4 linked regions of the Saccharomyces cerevisiae S288C genome follow. The protein of the gene in region 1 binds, or shares a complex with, the protein of each later gene. Each region holds a gene or a part of one and is shown in the gene's direction. Other genes may lie near its edges.

Evidence for each region.
Region 2: MRPL39 (region 1) and MRP49 share a complex: the UniProt entries of both Saccharomyces cerevisiae proteins name them as parts of the mitochondrial large ribosomal subunit.
Region 3: MRPL39 (region 1) and MRP7 share a complex: the UniProt entries of both Saccharomyces cerevisiae proteins name them as parts of the mitochondrial large ribosomal subunit.
Region 4: MRPL39 (region 1) and RML2 share a complex: the UniProt entries of both Saccharomyces cerevisiae proteins name them as parts of the mitochondrial large ribosomal subunit.

What each region holds. Positions count from the first base shown.
Region 1 is NC_001145.3:250,545-253,743, reverse strand, and holds MRPL39 (mitochondrial 54S ribosomal protein bL33m MRPL39), read left to right. Parts: upstream 1-2,227; coding exon 2,228-2,440; downstream 2,441-3,199. Other genes in the region: MIN4 (Min4p), read left to right, coding at 472-582; ERG6 (sterol 24-C-methyltransferase), read left to right, coding at 754-1,905; transcription elongation factor SPT5, read right to left, coding at 2,876-3,199. UniProt on the Saccharomyces cerevisiae protein: Component of the mitochondrial ribosome (mitoribosome), a dedicated translation machinery responsible for the synthesis of mitochondrial genome-encoded proteins, including at least some of the essential transmembrane subunits of the mitochondrial respiratory chain.
Region 2 is NC_001143.9:132,986-136,426, reverse strand, and holds MRP49 (mitochondrial 54S ribosomal protein mL61 MRP49), read left to right. Parts: upstream 1-2,292; coding exon 2,293-2,706; downstream 2,707-3,441. Other genes in the region: cAMP-dependent protein kinase catalytic subunit TPK3, read left to right, coding at 722-1,918; putative serine/threonine protein kinase KKQ8, read left to right, coding at 2,965-3,441. UniProt on the Saccharomyces cerevisiae protein: Component of the mitochondrial ribosome (mitoribosome), a dedicated translation machinery responsible for the synthesis of mitochondrial genome-encoded proteins, including at least some of the essential transmembrane subunits of the mitochondrial respiratory chain.
Region 3 is NC_001146.8:620,632-624,847, reverse strand, and holds MRP7 (mitochondrial 54S ribosomal protein bL27m MRP7), read left to right. Parts: upstream 1-2,419; coding exon 2,420-3,535; downstream 3,536-4,216. Other genes in the region: HRB1 (mRNA-binding protein), read right to left, coding at 227-1,561, 1,904-1,933; TOR complex subunit LST8, read right to left, coding at 3,870-4,216. UniProt on the Saccharomyces cerevisiae protein: Component of the mitochondrial ribosome (mitoribosome), a dedicated translation machinery responsible for the synthesis of mitochondrial genome-encoded proteins, including at least some of the essential transmembrane subunits of the mitochondrial respiratory chain.
Region 4 is NC_001137.3:59,039-63,176, reverse strand, and holds RML2 (mitochondrial 54S ribosomal protein uL2m RML2), read left to right. Parts: upstream 1-2,325; coding exon 2,326-3,507; downstream 3,508-4,138. Other genes in the region: VMA8 (H(+)-transporting V1 sector ATPase subunit D), read right to left, coding at 4,029-4,138. UniProt on the Saccharomyces cerevisiae protein: Component of the mitochondrial ribosome (mitoribosome), a dedicated translation machinery responsible for the synthesis of mitochondrial genome-encoded proteins, including at least some of the essential transmembrane subunits of the mitochondrial respiratory chain.

The sequences.
Region 1 (3,199 bases):
TCAGGAAAAAAAGCTAAACACCAATCCTATATATAACGTAAAGGTACTGTGCTTAATCGGTAAACGGAAGACTATTAAGCAAATGTATCTCTTAAGACCTTACGCATCCATCAGTTGCCACCCTCCTACTCTTCATCGGAGGGTTTCCGGTTCCCATGACAAAGACGGCGCTTTGGCGGGGCCCAAATTGTTACCCGCACCCAGAAAAAGAAAAGAGTAACCTAGGTCAAATCAACCAAACAGCTAGGGCTGGTTACTATTTTTGAAAAGATGCAACAGGGTAAGATCAGCAAAATTTAGGGCCGAACAAAGCCCCGATCTTCGTATATGGTACCTCGTTCCCGTACTTATTTTCAATTTTTGGCGTCGTTTACTGCCGTTTCCGATAAATACAAAAAAGTTTTCGAGAAGCGAGAGTAAGTGAGGAGCAGACAATGTATTATTCACTGTAAACTGCTCCACTTCGTCTCAATGGTACACTTCATTTTTATCGCCTTACGAAGCATGCGTTTTATGCGAAGATTGGTGAGAAACCTCCAATACTTGCTGTTGCCGATAACTTCTTCATTGCTTTTTATATAGTTCGGGTGTTTTCTCCTATCCTCTGCTGCTCTCTTTTTCTTTCCATTCGTCTTTGTAATTTATAAGCTGTTAATTTTCATTCAAGTTTCCCTTATCTGTTTTACTTTCGATTTAAGTTTTACATAATTTAAAAAAACAAGAATAAAATAATAATATAGTAGGCAGCATAAGATGAGTGAAACAGAATTGAGAAAAAGACAGGCCCAATTCACTAGGGAGTTACATGGTGATGATATTGGTAAAAAGACAGGTTTGAGTGCATTGATGTCGAAGAACAACTCTGCCCAAAAGGAAGCCGTTCAGAAGTACTTGAGAAATTGGGATGGTAGAACCGATAAAGATGCCGAAGAACGTCGTCTTGAGGATTATAATGAAGCCACACATTCCTACTATAACGTCGTTACAGATTTCTATGAATATGGTTGGGGTTCCTCTTTCCATTTCAGCAGATTTTATAAAGGTGAGAGTTTCGCTGCCTCGATAGCAAGACATGAACATTATTTAGCTTACAAGGCTGGTATTCAAAGAGGCGATTTAGTTCTCGACGTTGGTTGTGGTGTTGGGGGCCCAGCAAGAGAGATTGCAAGATTTACCGGTTGTAACGTCATCGGTCTAAACAATAACGATTACCAAATTGCCAAGGCAAAATATTACGCTAAAAAATACAATTTGAGTGACCAAATGGACTTTGTAAAGGGTGATTTCATGAAAATGGATTTCGAAGAAAACACTTTCGACAAAGTTTATGCAATTGAGGCCACATGTCACGCTCCAAAATTAGAAGGTGTATACAGCGAAATCTACAAGGTTTTGAAACCGGGTGGTACCTTTGCTGTTTACGAATGGGTAATGACTGATAAATATGACGAAAACAATCCTGAACATAGAAAGATCGCTTATGAAATTGAACTAGGTGATGGTATCCCAAAGATGTTCCATGTCGACGTGGCTAGGAAAGCATTGAAGAACTGTGGTTTCGAAGTCCTCGTTAGCGAAGACCTGGCGGACAATGATGATGAAATCCCTTGGTATTACCCATTAACTGGTGAGTGGAAGTACGTTCAAAACTTAGCTAATTTGGCCACATTTTTCAGAACTTCTTACTTGGGTAGACAATTTACTACAGCAATGGTTACTGTAATGGAAAAATTAGGTCTAGCCCCAGAAGGTTCCAAGGAAGTTACTGCTGCTCTAGAAAATGCTGCGGTTGGTTTAGTTGCCGGTGGTAAGTCCAAGTTATTCACTCCAATGATGCTTTTCGTCGCTAGGAAGCCAGAAAACGCCGAAACCCCCTCCCAAACTTCCCAAGAAGCAACTCAATAAATTCACTAGATCAATAAGATTCAAATAAAGCGCACGATATATACCTATTTTCCTATATATGCAGATAAAAAGATAGCACGTTCATTGCTAGCAGGCCTTACAAACAGACTGTCCGATGCCTTTACTACCCCACAATTTATCCCACTTGTGATTTTCAAGTTCGGCTTTTTTTTTTTTCATCATGTCGTGGCAAACGACCAGTATTTTCTATCAGAATAAGAAAAAACTATAATTCACTGCATACAAACGTATTGACTGCTCCCCTACAGCGGAAGATAGTAAGAATACAACATCGTAACTGTTTCCATATTTATGTGCCGATATGGTAAAAGTGAAATCTAAGAATAGTGTTATAAAGCTATTGTCTACAGCGGCAAGTGGATACTCTCGTTACATCTCGATTAAGAAAGGTGCACCTTTGGTTACTCAGGTCAGATACGATCCTGTGGTGAAACGGCATGTGCTTTTCAAAGAAGCAAAGAAAAGGAAAGTGGCAGAAAGAAAGCCATTGGATTTCTTGCGTACAGCCAAGTGAAGAAATATGAATAAGCACGAGCCCCGGCATGTAAGCCCATCGAATACGCAGACGTTACGCATTTTTTTTCATTTATCCTGTAAATAAGTAATGGATACATACATTTTGTATACGATTCAAACGGAAAGAAATTCCGCTAACGAAAAAGAAGTTATATAAAATTACATTACAATAATCAACTCCCTCATAATAAAGTTGATATTTCATTTAGATATGCAAAAACACATATGCATACATACATACATACGTATATGTAAAAGTTAGAATCAAGGAAAACTCGTGACATACAAATGCAAGCATAAATGAAAAAAAAAGATCGAGATTCAGTATTTCATCGAAACATCGAAATCTTCATAACTATTCTTATTAACGTGGTAATATTAAAGTCTTTTTTATTGATTTCTTCTTGGGTGATATTGGTTCTCCTTTTGGTGATTAATGACCTCCCCATGTACTGTTACCACCATAGTTTGACTTATTTCCTTGGTTGTTCCAAGCAGACCTATTTCCATCGTCTTGGTTACCCCATGCAGAAGCTCCGCCATCTCTTGTACTTTTATTATTGTTATTTCCTCCCCAGGTGGAAGCCCCGCCGTAGGCTGACCTATCACCGGTACCACCCCAAGTAGACATGGCACCATTAGATTCACCACCCGACGCCCAAGTGGATGCACCGCCCCAACTTGATTTGTTACCCCAGGCTGAAGCACCACCCCAAGTAGAAGTAGCACCAGTACCTTGGCCGCCCCAAGCTGAGGC
Region 2 (3,441 bases), on another chromosome or scaffold:
AAGCTTGGACCACATATACTTATATGCCATGGTCCTAATTGAGTTCCTAGGTTTGTCACGACGGTGGCCACCGGCCGATCAACCGTATCATTTACTATTTTTTTCAAGAGGACAACGACTTCATTCTTCAAAAAGTCGTTCCAGGTACGAGTGATTTAGGAAGGTCTGAAGAAAAGCGACTATGCATTTTTGCAAAATTGCGTCAACGTTTCAGATACTCTCTGGTGCGCAAAAATGCGTTTATTTCAAGCCAAGTTGCAATCTTTATCAAAACTTGATATACATTAAAATACTCACTAATATATATATATATATATATATATGTACATATACATATATAGATTTATATGACGTTTCCGACGCATACTGGTGAACCACTTTCTTTTTAGTGAATAGCCTCATTATGCAGTTTCCGGTATTTTTTTTCCGTTGCTTCAGCTACGGGATTTCTTCGATGCCATTGAAAAATAAAGTTGTGTTCAATGAGAATATGGAAAGAAAAGACACTTTTTACCAGCTGATCTTAAAAGTTTTGTCTGCTTTATTACTTCTATCGGTAAGAAACTCGAGTGGACATACGAGACACTTTGTGCAGTCGTCGGAGAAAATTTATAGGCGATCACTCTTTAAGCAATAAGAAAGTTTCACGTATATTATTGAATAATACATTAATCATATTGTATATCGGTGGTTGTACAAGGAAAGAGCGAGCCTGCACAAAATGTATGTTGATCCGATGAACAACAATGAAATCAGGAAATTAAGCATTACTGCCAAGACAGAAACAACTCCAGATAACGTTGGACAAGACATTCCTGTAAACGCACATTCGGTGCATGAGGAATGTTCTTCCAACACACCCGTGGAGATAAATGGAAGAAACAGCGGAAAGTTGAAAGAAGAAGCGTCTGCAGGTATTTGTTTGGTTAAAAAACCAATGCTACAATATAGAGATACCTCAGGAAAGTATTCCCTAAGTGACTTTCAGATTTTAAGAACTTTGGGAACTGGCTCATTTGGGAGAGTTCACCTAATTCGTTCCAATCACAATGGGAGGTTTTACGCTTTGAAGACATTGAAAAAGCACACTATAGTGAAGCTGAAGCAGGTTGAACACACCAATGACGAACGCCGAATGCTTTCAATTGTTTCACATCCATTCATCATTCGAATGTGGGGAACGTTCCAAGATTCTCAGCAAGTTTTCATGGTAATGGACTACATTGAAGGTGGTGAATTATTTTCTTTACTACGTAAATCTCAAAGATTTCCCAACCCAGTAGCCAAATTTTATGCCGCAGAGGTATGCTTAGCGTTGGAATATTTGCACAGTAAGGATATAATATATAGAGACTTGAAACCAGAAAATATCCTTCTAGATAAAAACGGCCATATCAAGATAACCGACTTTGGCTTCGCAAAATACGTTCCCGATGTCACATACACATTATGTGGCACACCAGATTACATAGCGCCGGAAGTGGTCAGTACAAAACCGTATAATAAATCAGTGGATTGGTGGAGTTTTGGTGTGCTAATCTATGAAATGCTTGCCGGATACACTCCATTTTACAATTCGAACACCATGAAAACTTACGAAAATATACTGAACGCCGAATTGAAGTTCCCACCATTTTTCCATCCAGACGCGCAGGACTTATTGAAGAAGCTAATTACCAGAGACTTAAGTGAAAGGTTGGGTAACTTACAAAATGGAAGTGAAGATGTCAAGAACCATCCGTGGTTTAACGAAGTGATATGGGAGAAATTGTTAGCAAGATACATAGAAACGCCGTACGAACCACCAATCCAACAGGGCCAAGGTGACACTTCTCAATTTGACAGATACCCTGAAGAGGAATTCAACTATGGAATTCAAGGGGAGGATCCATATATGGATTTAATGAAAGAATTTTAAGGAGGTTCAGTGGGATAATTGTAATTGAAAAAAAAAAAAAATCAATAAAAGTAAAAACAAGAACAAGAAAAAGCACAAACAAACCTGGTTATAGATTCTTGGTGAGTCTAACAGGGCCATGATAAAAAAGTGACACATGCATATATGTACATGTATATATCTACGTACGTCTATTCAATAGAGGTGTATACAGATAAATAAAGGAGCATTCATATACGCCATATTGTGACTACATTTGCGTCCTCAGAAGACTGGGACGTTCAAAGTGATCTAGGACTTTTCACCCAGGGAAAACAGGATATCTGTAAGAATCGGCCATAAAACTCATTAATAGAAGAACAGTATAACATAAGTGAGCCTGCTACAATAAGAAGATGTCTAAGGTTGCACAACAGTTAAAATTTTTGAATAAAATTAGCGCCACTACCAGACTACCGCAGATTCTAGTCGATCCTAAAAAATACTCAGGTCTTAGATTGACTTTTCAAACGAAAAACCACAATGGACATATGGGTGCCAGAGTTTTTTGGCATAACTACCTACCCACTTTGCAGTTCTATAATCCAAGAATGAAGTTTGACGTGATAAGGATAAAGAACGAAGACAAGCAAAAAAGCGTTCCATGCAAACTGGAGATTTTATCTCATGAAGGCTCCGTTGTAGAGACTATTGATATGCGTAATAAAATGCATGAAGATATAATGAAAGACTTACTTGACAAAATAGAGCACGTTCCTCTTCCTGAAAATGAGATCATAAGAGTTGGACCGCAAGAAAGTATTATATAAGCTTTCTCTCGATAAGTTTGTTCATGTATATATCAAAAAACATTGCCCTTCATGGAAATATGTAAATTCAAAACTCACTTATGGGGCATATAAGTATATAATTTAGAGTACAATAAGTAGGATTGTGCTGAATATTGTCAGCCCTTGGGTCCCTTTTTTTGCCCTCCGCGTATTTCTTGTGGAAAATAAGGAAATTTCATTTTCACTTCAACTAGCTAGTTTAATTGCATGATGGACTCAAAAACATTGACAGCATCAATGGTAATGCAGGAGGAGAAGAAGCGGCAACAACCTGTGACAAGAAGAGTAAGGTCATTTTCTGAGTCCTTTAAAAACCTTTTCAGGCCGCCTCGTTCAAGAGATTCAAGTCCTATTAATGTCACCCGAATTCCTTATCGATCGTCTTCTACCTCACCCAAGAGAAGCTCTGAGCCACCAAGACGATCAACCGTATCCGCACAAATTTTAGATCCAAAAAATTCTCCAATACGCCAGCGTAGTTATACATTGAAGTGTTGCACCCCGGGCCTGTCACATCCATTTAGACAGACAGGAAGTGGTGCTAGTAATAGTCCTACCAGACATCGCTCTATATCTGGGGAAGAACAGGAAATTGTTAACAGTTTACCAGAATACAAAAGATCTGCTTCTCATACTTTTCATGGCATACGGCGTCCACGTTCAAGAAGTTCATCTGTTTCGTCATGTGACAGTTCAAATGGAACGACAAGTTCA
Region 3 (4,216 bases), on another chromosome or scaffold:
ACGATATCTGTTCAAAGTACTTTTTTGGATATTTGTTAAACCCATTTTCACTGTATTGGAAAAATCAGACTCTTTTCACAGTCTTCTTCAAAGTCTTCGAAATTTTTTCAGATTATACGTATACACAATGACATTATAAAGTTAAAAAGCCTGGAAATAAGTCAAGAATGAATAAATACTTGTCGCAGATCCAATAGGTGAGAAAGTATATAGATCGAGAGTAGTTCTAGAGGCGTTTAGCGTACGATATATCCAAATCACAACCCCCATAGTTATAATTATTCAATCTTTCAATACAAACATCTGCATCATCGACGTTATCGTATTCAACGACAGCTATTCCAGTTGGTGCCCCTTTGGAATCATACCTTAATTCAGCATTGTTAACCTTTCCGATTGTCTCGAAAAGGTCGTAAAGATCACTTTTTGCAGTTGAAAATGGCAAATTACTGCAATATATGAGTCTATTTCTTTCACCTCCACCGACAACGTTTTCGGTAAATTTTCGAGCTTCTTCGTTAACGGGAGAATCATCCATTGGGATATCAACATCGTCTCCATCACTGTGGTTATGTACGCTTTCCTTAGACTTGACATCCAAGACGTTACCCTCTATACTATAACCGTTGTATTTCTCAATCGCTCTATGCAGATCTTTAATATCATAAAAGGACACCGTACCAGATCCAGTGGATACTCCATCGCCATCCAATTCCACATCAGCGTGTGCGACATTCCCACATTCCTTGAATATGTCTTTCAAAGCCTGCCAATTAACGGAAGCAGGTAAATTTTTTACAATAACTTCATGTGTTTTTCGGTTATGTCTAAGCTCTCCTCTATCGAGTGCTTTCCTTTCCTTGATATTGTTTGACGGTGGTGGATTATCTTGCCTGACGAAGATTTTACGATCCATGAAGAAGGCCCCATCGTACTGGCGGATGGCCCTGTCAACATCATCCGAATTAGTGAACTCTACTGTACCCATACCTCTGTGGTGCCCTCTTGATGTAATTATATCCGCGCGGACTACTTTTCCTATCTGTGAAAAAAACTCAGTGAGATCTTCGGGGGTGCTGTCATATGTTAAATTACCCACGAATATACTATTGGAATAGTTTCTATTGACCTTTTCTTCGTATGTACTATCCAATTCACGTGCCAACAAAGGACCGTAATCACCTCTTGCTCCACTACTACCAAAACCGCCTCTCCTACTGTCATCACGTGTATTGTGTCTACTCCTAAAGCTTCTAGGATAGTCATCACGTCTGTTCCCATAACGACCAGTCACATCTCTTCCTCTGCGCCTATCATCGTAACGGTCTCTAGATCTAGGATTATCTCTGTTATTGAACCTTTCTCTTTCTCTGTAATCAGACCTTTCTCTACCTCCTCTATATTCTCCTCTATCTCTGCTTCCTCTGTACGTATCTGCGAACTTACGCCTACCGTTATAATTACCTGACCTCCGGGACAAATGGTTGTCTCTTTCATAACCATGATCATCACTCATCCGACGACGAACAGGTGATCTCGACCTCGATCTACTTCGATTATTCTACAACAATGAATAACATTAGTAAAAGTAACTAAATTTCATAATGAGAGAGACCAATAAGTCATTGCGTTTCAAAGTTGGAATAAACTGTACATTATAGCATGGCAGGTAGAAAATCAGGGTTTTATTTATAATTGATATTCTCACTTTCATAGCCAGTAGATAAACATTAGCAATGCATTCAAAAAACCCCCTTTAACCAGTGGAATCACATTGAAGCAAGCGTTTTGAAGGCAGCATTAAATGGTGACTCACCATTCGTTGATGTCTATTTAATTCCAATGACCTCATAAAGTCTCATTTTACAAACTTTTCTTCACCTCCCTTATCAATGAAACATACGTTTTCTGAACCTCGTTCTTGATCAGACATATCCTGTTAACTTAATATTTGGCGTTCTATCTGCTCATTCAAACTGTTTTCGAACTCATGAGCAAACATAATTATGAAATTTTTCAGCCAGTACTCTACTTTTTCATTTCCCTCGCTAAACAAAGAGAGTCATTTGAAACGACCCAAGGAAAGACGTAAATTGAGGTATATGTAGTGACCAGAAGAGGATAAGGATGGCTAGAGTTTGGTGTTCAAGTTCAATTGTTTGGTTGAATAGGTACTAAAAAGATTTTCACACAACGGCTTCTCTGTAATGTTATACACACTGTTTTTATACCAATTATGCAAATTTGGCTGTTATGACTGGGTGTTTCGATATCTGACGTTCCGCTATTGAATTTTAAAGCTCTTTCTTTGGAGACTCATTCAAGATAGTTCACTGAAGAATGAAGTTGGCTCATTGTAAAAATAAAACTCGCCAGTTTGGGTGGTCATAATATTTCAAGCTTAACCTAAGGTGAGAATATGTGGAATCCTATTTTACTAGATACTTCTAGTTTTTCATTCCAAAAACATGTGTCTGGTGTGTTCCTTCAAGTGCGTAATGCCACCAAAAGGGCTGCGGGCTCGAGAACAAGTATGAAGGATTCTGCAGGAAGAAGGTTAGGACCAAAAAAATATGAAGGCCAGGATGTTTCCACAGGTGAAATTATTATGAGGCAAAGAGGAACAAAGTTTTATCCTGGAGAAAACGTTGGTATAGGGAAAGATCATTCCATATTCGCCTTAGAACCTGGTGTTGTTCGTTACTATCTTGATCCTTTTCATCCTAAAAGAAAATTCATTGGTGTTGCCTTGAGGCGTGATTTGAAACTGCCATCTCCTCATTTTGAGCCTACCGTAAGGAGGTTTGGCCGTTTTGAGTTAACAAATAAAAGGGCAGCATATAAGGAAGAAAATTCTATTTCTAGAAAAGACTATCTCGCAAAACCTAATATTTTGAAGCAGTTAGAGGTCAGGGAATCTAAAAGAAAGGAGTTACAAGACAAGTTGAGTAAGGTTCTTCGGGATGAACTTAAGTTAGATATAAAAGACATCGAATTGGCAACGTCATACTTAATTCGTGTAAGGGCTTCCCTGAAGAATGGATACCCCATAGAAGATGCAAGGTTCAATAGTAGATATTATTTAAAAGAAGAAGAGCGTTTGAAGGCAAGGAGAGAAAGCTGGACGAATGAGAAATTGTCGGAGAGTCTATCCAAGATTGATGAGTGTAGTGATCTTTTGAACTCATCTACATCTTTCAATAACAAGCTAGAGCTACACCAGTATATTTCGGAACAAGAAAAACAAGCTTTGAAGGCAAAACTATTAGAGGACCTAGAAAAATCCCAACACTTAGAAACCAAAAAAGACAAGAATTATATTAAGGCGCTTTTCAAGGACGCTTGTAATTTTTTGACTTTATCTGAAGAAGTACATTTGCGTAGGAAATACTTAAAGTCGGTCTTCCCCGAAACAGATAGTACGGTTGAAACCAAAAGCGGGAAGAAGTCAATTGTGTCTAGACGTTTTGATTACACCAAAAATAAAGTTGAAGTCATTGCTAGAAGTAGGCGGGCTTTTTTGAGCAAGCTTTGATTTTCTTTCCTTACGCACAGTATGTACACATATAAAATGTTTAAGAATGCCTGTAAATATTACTATTTTGTCGCGCAAGTAGCTAAACCTTTCGTCTACACGAAACTTAAAATTTAGTGCTACATGCAAGGGAATATGTTTATACTGTACATTCTCGTCTTCCTTTCATTGATGATATGCATCGCGATTGCTTTCATTTTGTGAACAATCAATTAACTAAAATGCACAGGATAGTAAAATCTATATTTACAAAAAGGCGGATAAGCAAACACTGAAAATCATAATGTTTTTTGTCACTTCGGTCCTTCAAGCTTGGTAGTTGATAAATTGTAAACTATACATCGTTTAATGCGACACATACAGCTCCCTTGTGGTGTCCACCGTACTGTCTGACAATTTCTCTAGTTGATAAATCCCATAATCTCACGTAATGATCGGACGATGCCGTTACTAGATACGCACTGTCAGCACTAAATGCGCAATCCCAAACCCACCTTTGGTGGCCATCCAATGTCGTTTCTAGCTTAAAATCATCATCAATCGACCACACACGAGCAGTGTGATCCGCTGAACATGTTGCCAAATGTTTTACATCAGATGATAGTAGAATTCTAGTTATATATGTGGAGTGCGCTCTGAATTTTGTTACCGGTTTTAGATGGGATGCGTCAGTATGATTTG
Region 4 (4,138 bases), on another chromosome or scaffold:
TCAGTAGGACGAAGCACGCGTTAGATAATTAATGGCACATTGTTTCAAGGAATTAGTTTTTGCAGCCGTTTAGAGCTAGCTATAATGATAAAATAGTTCGTTCATATACTCCGGTGGGATCATTGCAGAAATTGAGAAAGAAAGAACGTTGAATATGACATACGTAGGTAAACGAAAATTTATAGACTAACCAGGTTCAAGGCATTCTTTGATCCATTGACCTCGTTGATACCTCTACTATTTTCGATCATTACTACTAATAGAATAACAGCAATAAAATTTACATAGATGATCATATTATATGTTAATGGTGAAGAAATTCACCTCCGACCGTGGTATGTCAATGTGAGATATCACAAAAGTTACTGAATTTTGATCCGGATTTCACTGCCACTATTTACTTAGATTCAGATTTGAGAGTGAAAAATGGGTGAATTTTGAGATAATTGTTGGGATTCCGTCTGTGTTGAAGGCAATAATATTAGGTATACAGGATATACTAGAAGATTTCCTCGAGATTATAGAAATGCCCAAAAGGAAGTCGATAGTGCTACATAATTATGTAACTTCATCCTCCTTCCTTTTATACTTTGTCGTTCGCTACCCTATTACATTATTAATTCTTGCATTTCAGCTTCCTTTAAATTTGATAGCTGTTTCCCATCGTACTTTTTGTCAACTAATTCTGTCCTATATGATAATTGAAGAGTGGGTGAATTTTGAGATAATTGTTGGGATTCCATTTTTAATAAGGCAATAATATTAGGTATGTAGAATGTACTAGAAGTTCTCCTCGAGGATTTAGGAATCCATAAAAGGGAATCTGCAATTCTACACAATTCTATAAATATTATTATCATCATTTTATATGTTAATATTCATTGATCCTATTACATTATCAATCCTTGCGTTTCAGCTTCCACTAATTTAGATGACTATTTCTCATCATTTGCGTCATCTTCTAACACCGTATATGATAATATACTAGTAACGTAAATACTAGTTAGTAGATGATAGTTGATCTTTATTCCAACAATAATACATATTAATACTATATACATAAGATCAAAGATGAAACTTGCTTCTTATTCCAGCAAGATTCTATATGCCATGATATACGACGAATAATATTTTGTGAATCAAGTTGATACTCCAAGGTTATGTTCTAATCTATGTTCTGTGGGTTCTTTATTTTTTGAATAACAACAAATAGTAAGCGCAAGTGGTTTAGTGGTAAAATCCAACGTTGCCATCGTTGGGCCCCCGGTTCGATTCCGGGCTTGCGCAGCTTTATTTTTTTAATCCATTCATTTCATGAGCAACTGTCAACTAATTCCAATACGAAGAGCCTAATTCTTTGATAGTTCCTTTTCTTTTCTAGTTTAGATTTCAGAAAGCGTAAACAACAATTTTAATCATCGTATTCAAATTTACATCGAACACGTTCATGATTAGCATGGAGTGTAATCATCATCAAAAAAAAAAAAAAAGAGGAGTGATAATGGCAATTAAGACAATTTTTTATATAACAGTAAGAATTGATATTGAAACCAAATTGTGCTTAACAAAAAAAACTAGGTCGAATGGATATTTTTCTTAATCCAACCGTACCGCTGTGTACAAATGAGGCAAAAGAGGTAAAATGTTTGAGAAAAGATTCCTTTCTTCAGCAATCCTTTTCTTGCATTAAATACATGTTCCTTGAGAAAACTTTTGATGTTTAATGTGTAAATATCTCATTAATTTCAGAATTTTCAGTGTTTGTTGTTTGTAAAATCAGTCATTTCAAAGATCCGCTTGGGGCGACAACTTAGTCATCATGTTAATGAGATACCAACAAAAAACTGTACTTGTAAGTTGTCTTTATCATCTCTAAAGGAACAATAATGCAGAAGAGAAAAAAGTAAAGAAAGTAATACACAAACATCCCCCTCTTGGCTTTATAAGCATACGCAAACAGTATAGTTCGAAAAAAAAAGTATTAGTACGATCTATTTTTGTTTGTCAGGAACTCCTGTTCCTTAACACATTCTATAGAAATATCTATATGTTACCATCCACGTACAGGTTGAAGCGCTTGGTATTTAAGATGAATAAGTATATTCTACGGTTAAATTTGAATAGAACCTCTGTTCTTTAAATACTCAAAAAAAATTTTCCATGCAAAAAAAAGACTACGCGAGGTGGAAAGTTAGGGCTTGAACCTATAATTGAAAGAGAAAGGGAACGTATGGGAAACTGAAAGCGAGTTCTAACTAAGCAAAAGAGAACGTTGTAAACTAGTCCAGAAATACGCAGAGAAGATAATTTAAGTGTTTATGAAAGATGTTGGTGCTAGGGTCTCTTAGATCGGCGCTGTCGTGCAGTTCCACAGCATCGCTTATTAGTAAGAGAAACCCTTGTTATCCATACGGTATACTCTGTCGAACTCTATCTCAGAGTGTTAAATTGTGGCAAGAGAATACTTCAAAAGATGACTCCAGTTTGAACATTACTCCACGATTACTAAAGATTATACCTAACGATACTGATATCGTGACTCTTGAGAAGCAGGATGAATTGATTAAAAGACGTCGTAAACTTTCGAAAGAAGTGACCCAGATGAAGAGGCTAAAACCCGTCTCACCTGGTTTGAGATGGTACCGTTCCCCCATTTATCCATATTTGTACAAAGGTCGTCCGGTTAGAGCCCTAACTGTTGTTCGAAAGAAGCACGGTGGTAGAAATAATTCAGGAAAAATCACTGTCCGTCACCAAGGTGGTGGCCATAGAAATAGAACGAGGCTGATAGACTTTAACAGATGGGAAGGTGGTGCACAAACGGTGCAAAGGATTGAGTACGATCCGGGTAGATCCTCTCATATCGCCCTATTGAAGCATAATACTACCGGCGAATTGTCTTATATTATTGCTTGTGATGGGTTACGCCCAGGCGATGTGGTCGAATCCTTCAGAAGAGGTATTCCTCAAACTTTACTGAATGAAATGGGCGGGAAAGTAGACCCTGCTATCTTGAGTGTTAAGACTACCCAAAGAGGCAACTGTCTACCTATTTCCATGATCCCCATAGGTACTATTATTCACAACGTTGGCATAACACCCGTTGGACCTGGAAAATTTTGTCGCTCTGCTGGTACATATGCCAGAGTCCTTGCGAAATTACCTGAAAAAAAGAAAGCTATTGTTAGATTACAAAGCGGTGAACATCGTTATGTGTCTTTAGAGGCTGTCGCTACCATTGGCGTGGTCTCCAATATTGACCATCAAAACAGATCTCTTGGTAAAGCCGGCAGATCAAGATGGTTAGGGATAAGACCCACTGTTAGAGGTGTTGCCATGAATAAATGTGACCATCCTCACGGTGGTGGCCGTGGTAAATCCAAGTCTAATAAATTATCAATGTCTCCATGGGGACAACTGGCAAAGGGGTACAAGACTAGAAGGGGTAAAAATCAAAATAGAATGAAAGTAAAAGACAGACCAAGAGGCAAAGATGCAAGATTATAAATAGGCTAATTTTAGTAGAAAAGAAGCAACATAGGGACCTTTTCTTCGTTGTTCTGGTTACATTTATCTGTACTATATAATTTTGCACAGCCTGTAGACAATGCCGCTTGTCCACAATCATGTAAATATAAATATTGAAACTTTTCACTTGTTTAAAATTTATGGCAAACCACTTTAATACTTTTTTCTTTTTAGGTACAATATTTACATTTTGATACTGTCCATCAGATTTTAGTCACTAACATCTAAGTTAAGGAAGTAAGAGATTCAGACTCCGGTAAGGAAAAAAAAAAAAAAGAAAAAAAAAAAACAAACTCTGAAATGAAAGCATTAGAAGAAAAAGTTATATCTCATGTACAATTTGAGCAAATTTGGACCGATATGATTTGAGGTTGTATGATAAGAAGTGCTATTTATGATTGTTTAAAAAGATGTTATTTTATTAAACAATTATACAAAATATCCTTTTTTTTAATAATGGCTTACATATTTTTGAAAAGGGTCTTGTTCTGCCTGAAACTTCAGAATATAACATCGTCTTCTTGATCAGCAACCAATGTTTCACCTTGAGGTTCCTCATCAGCAGCTACTTCTGAAGCATCTTGTTCTGCTCTATCTCTCTTCAATTTCA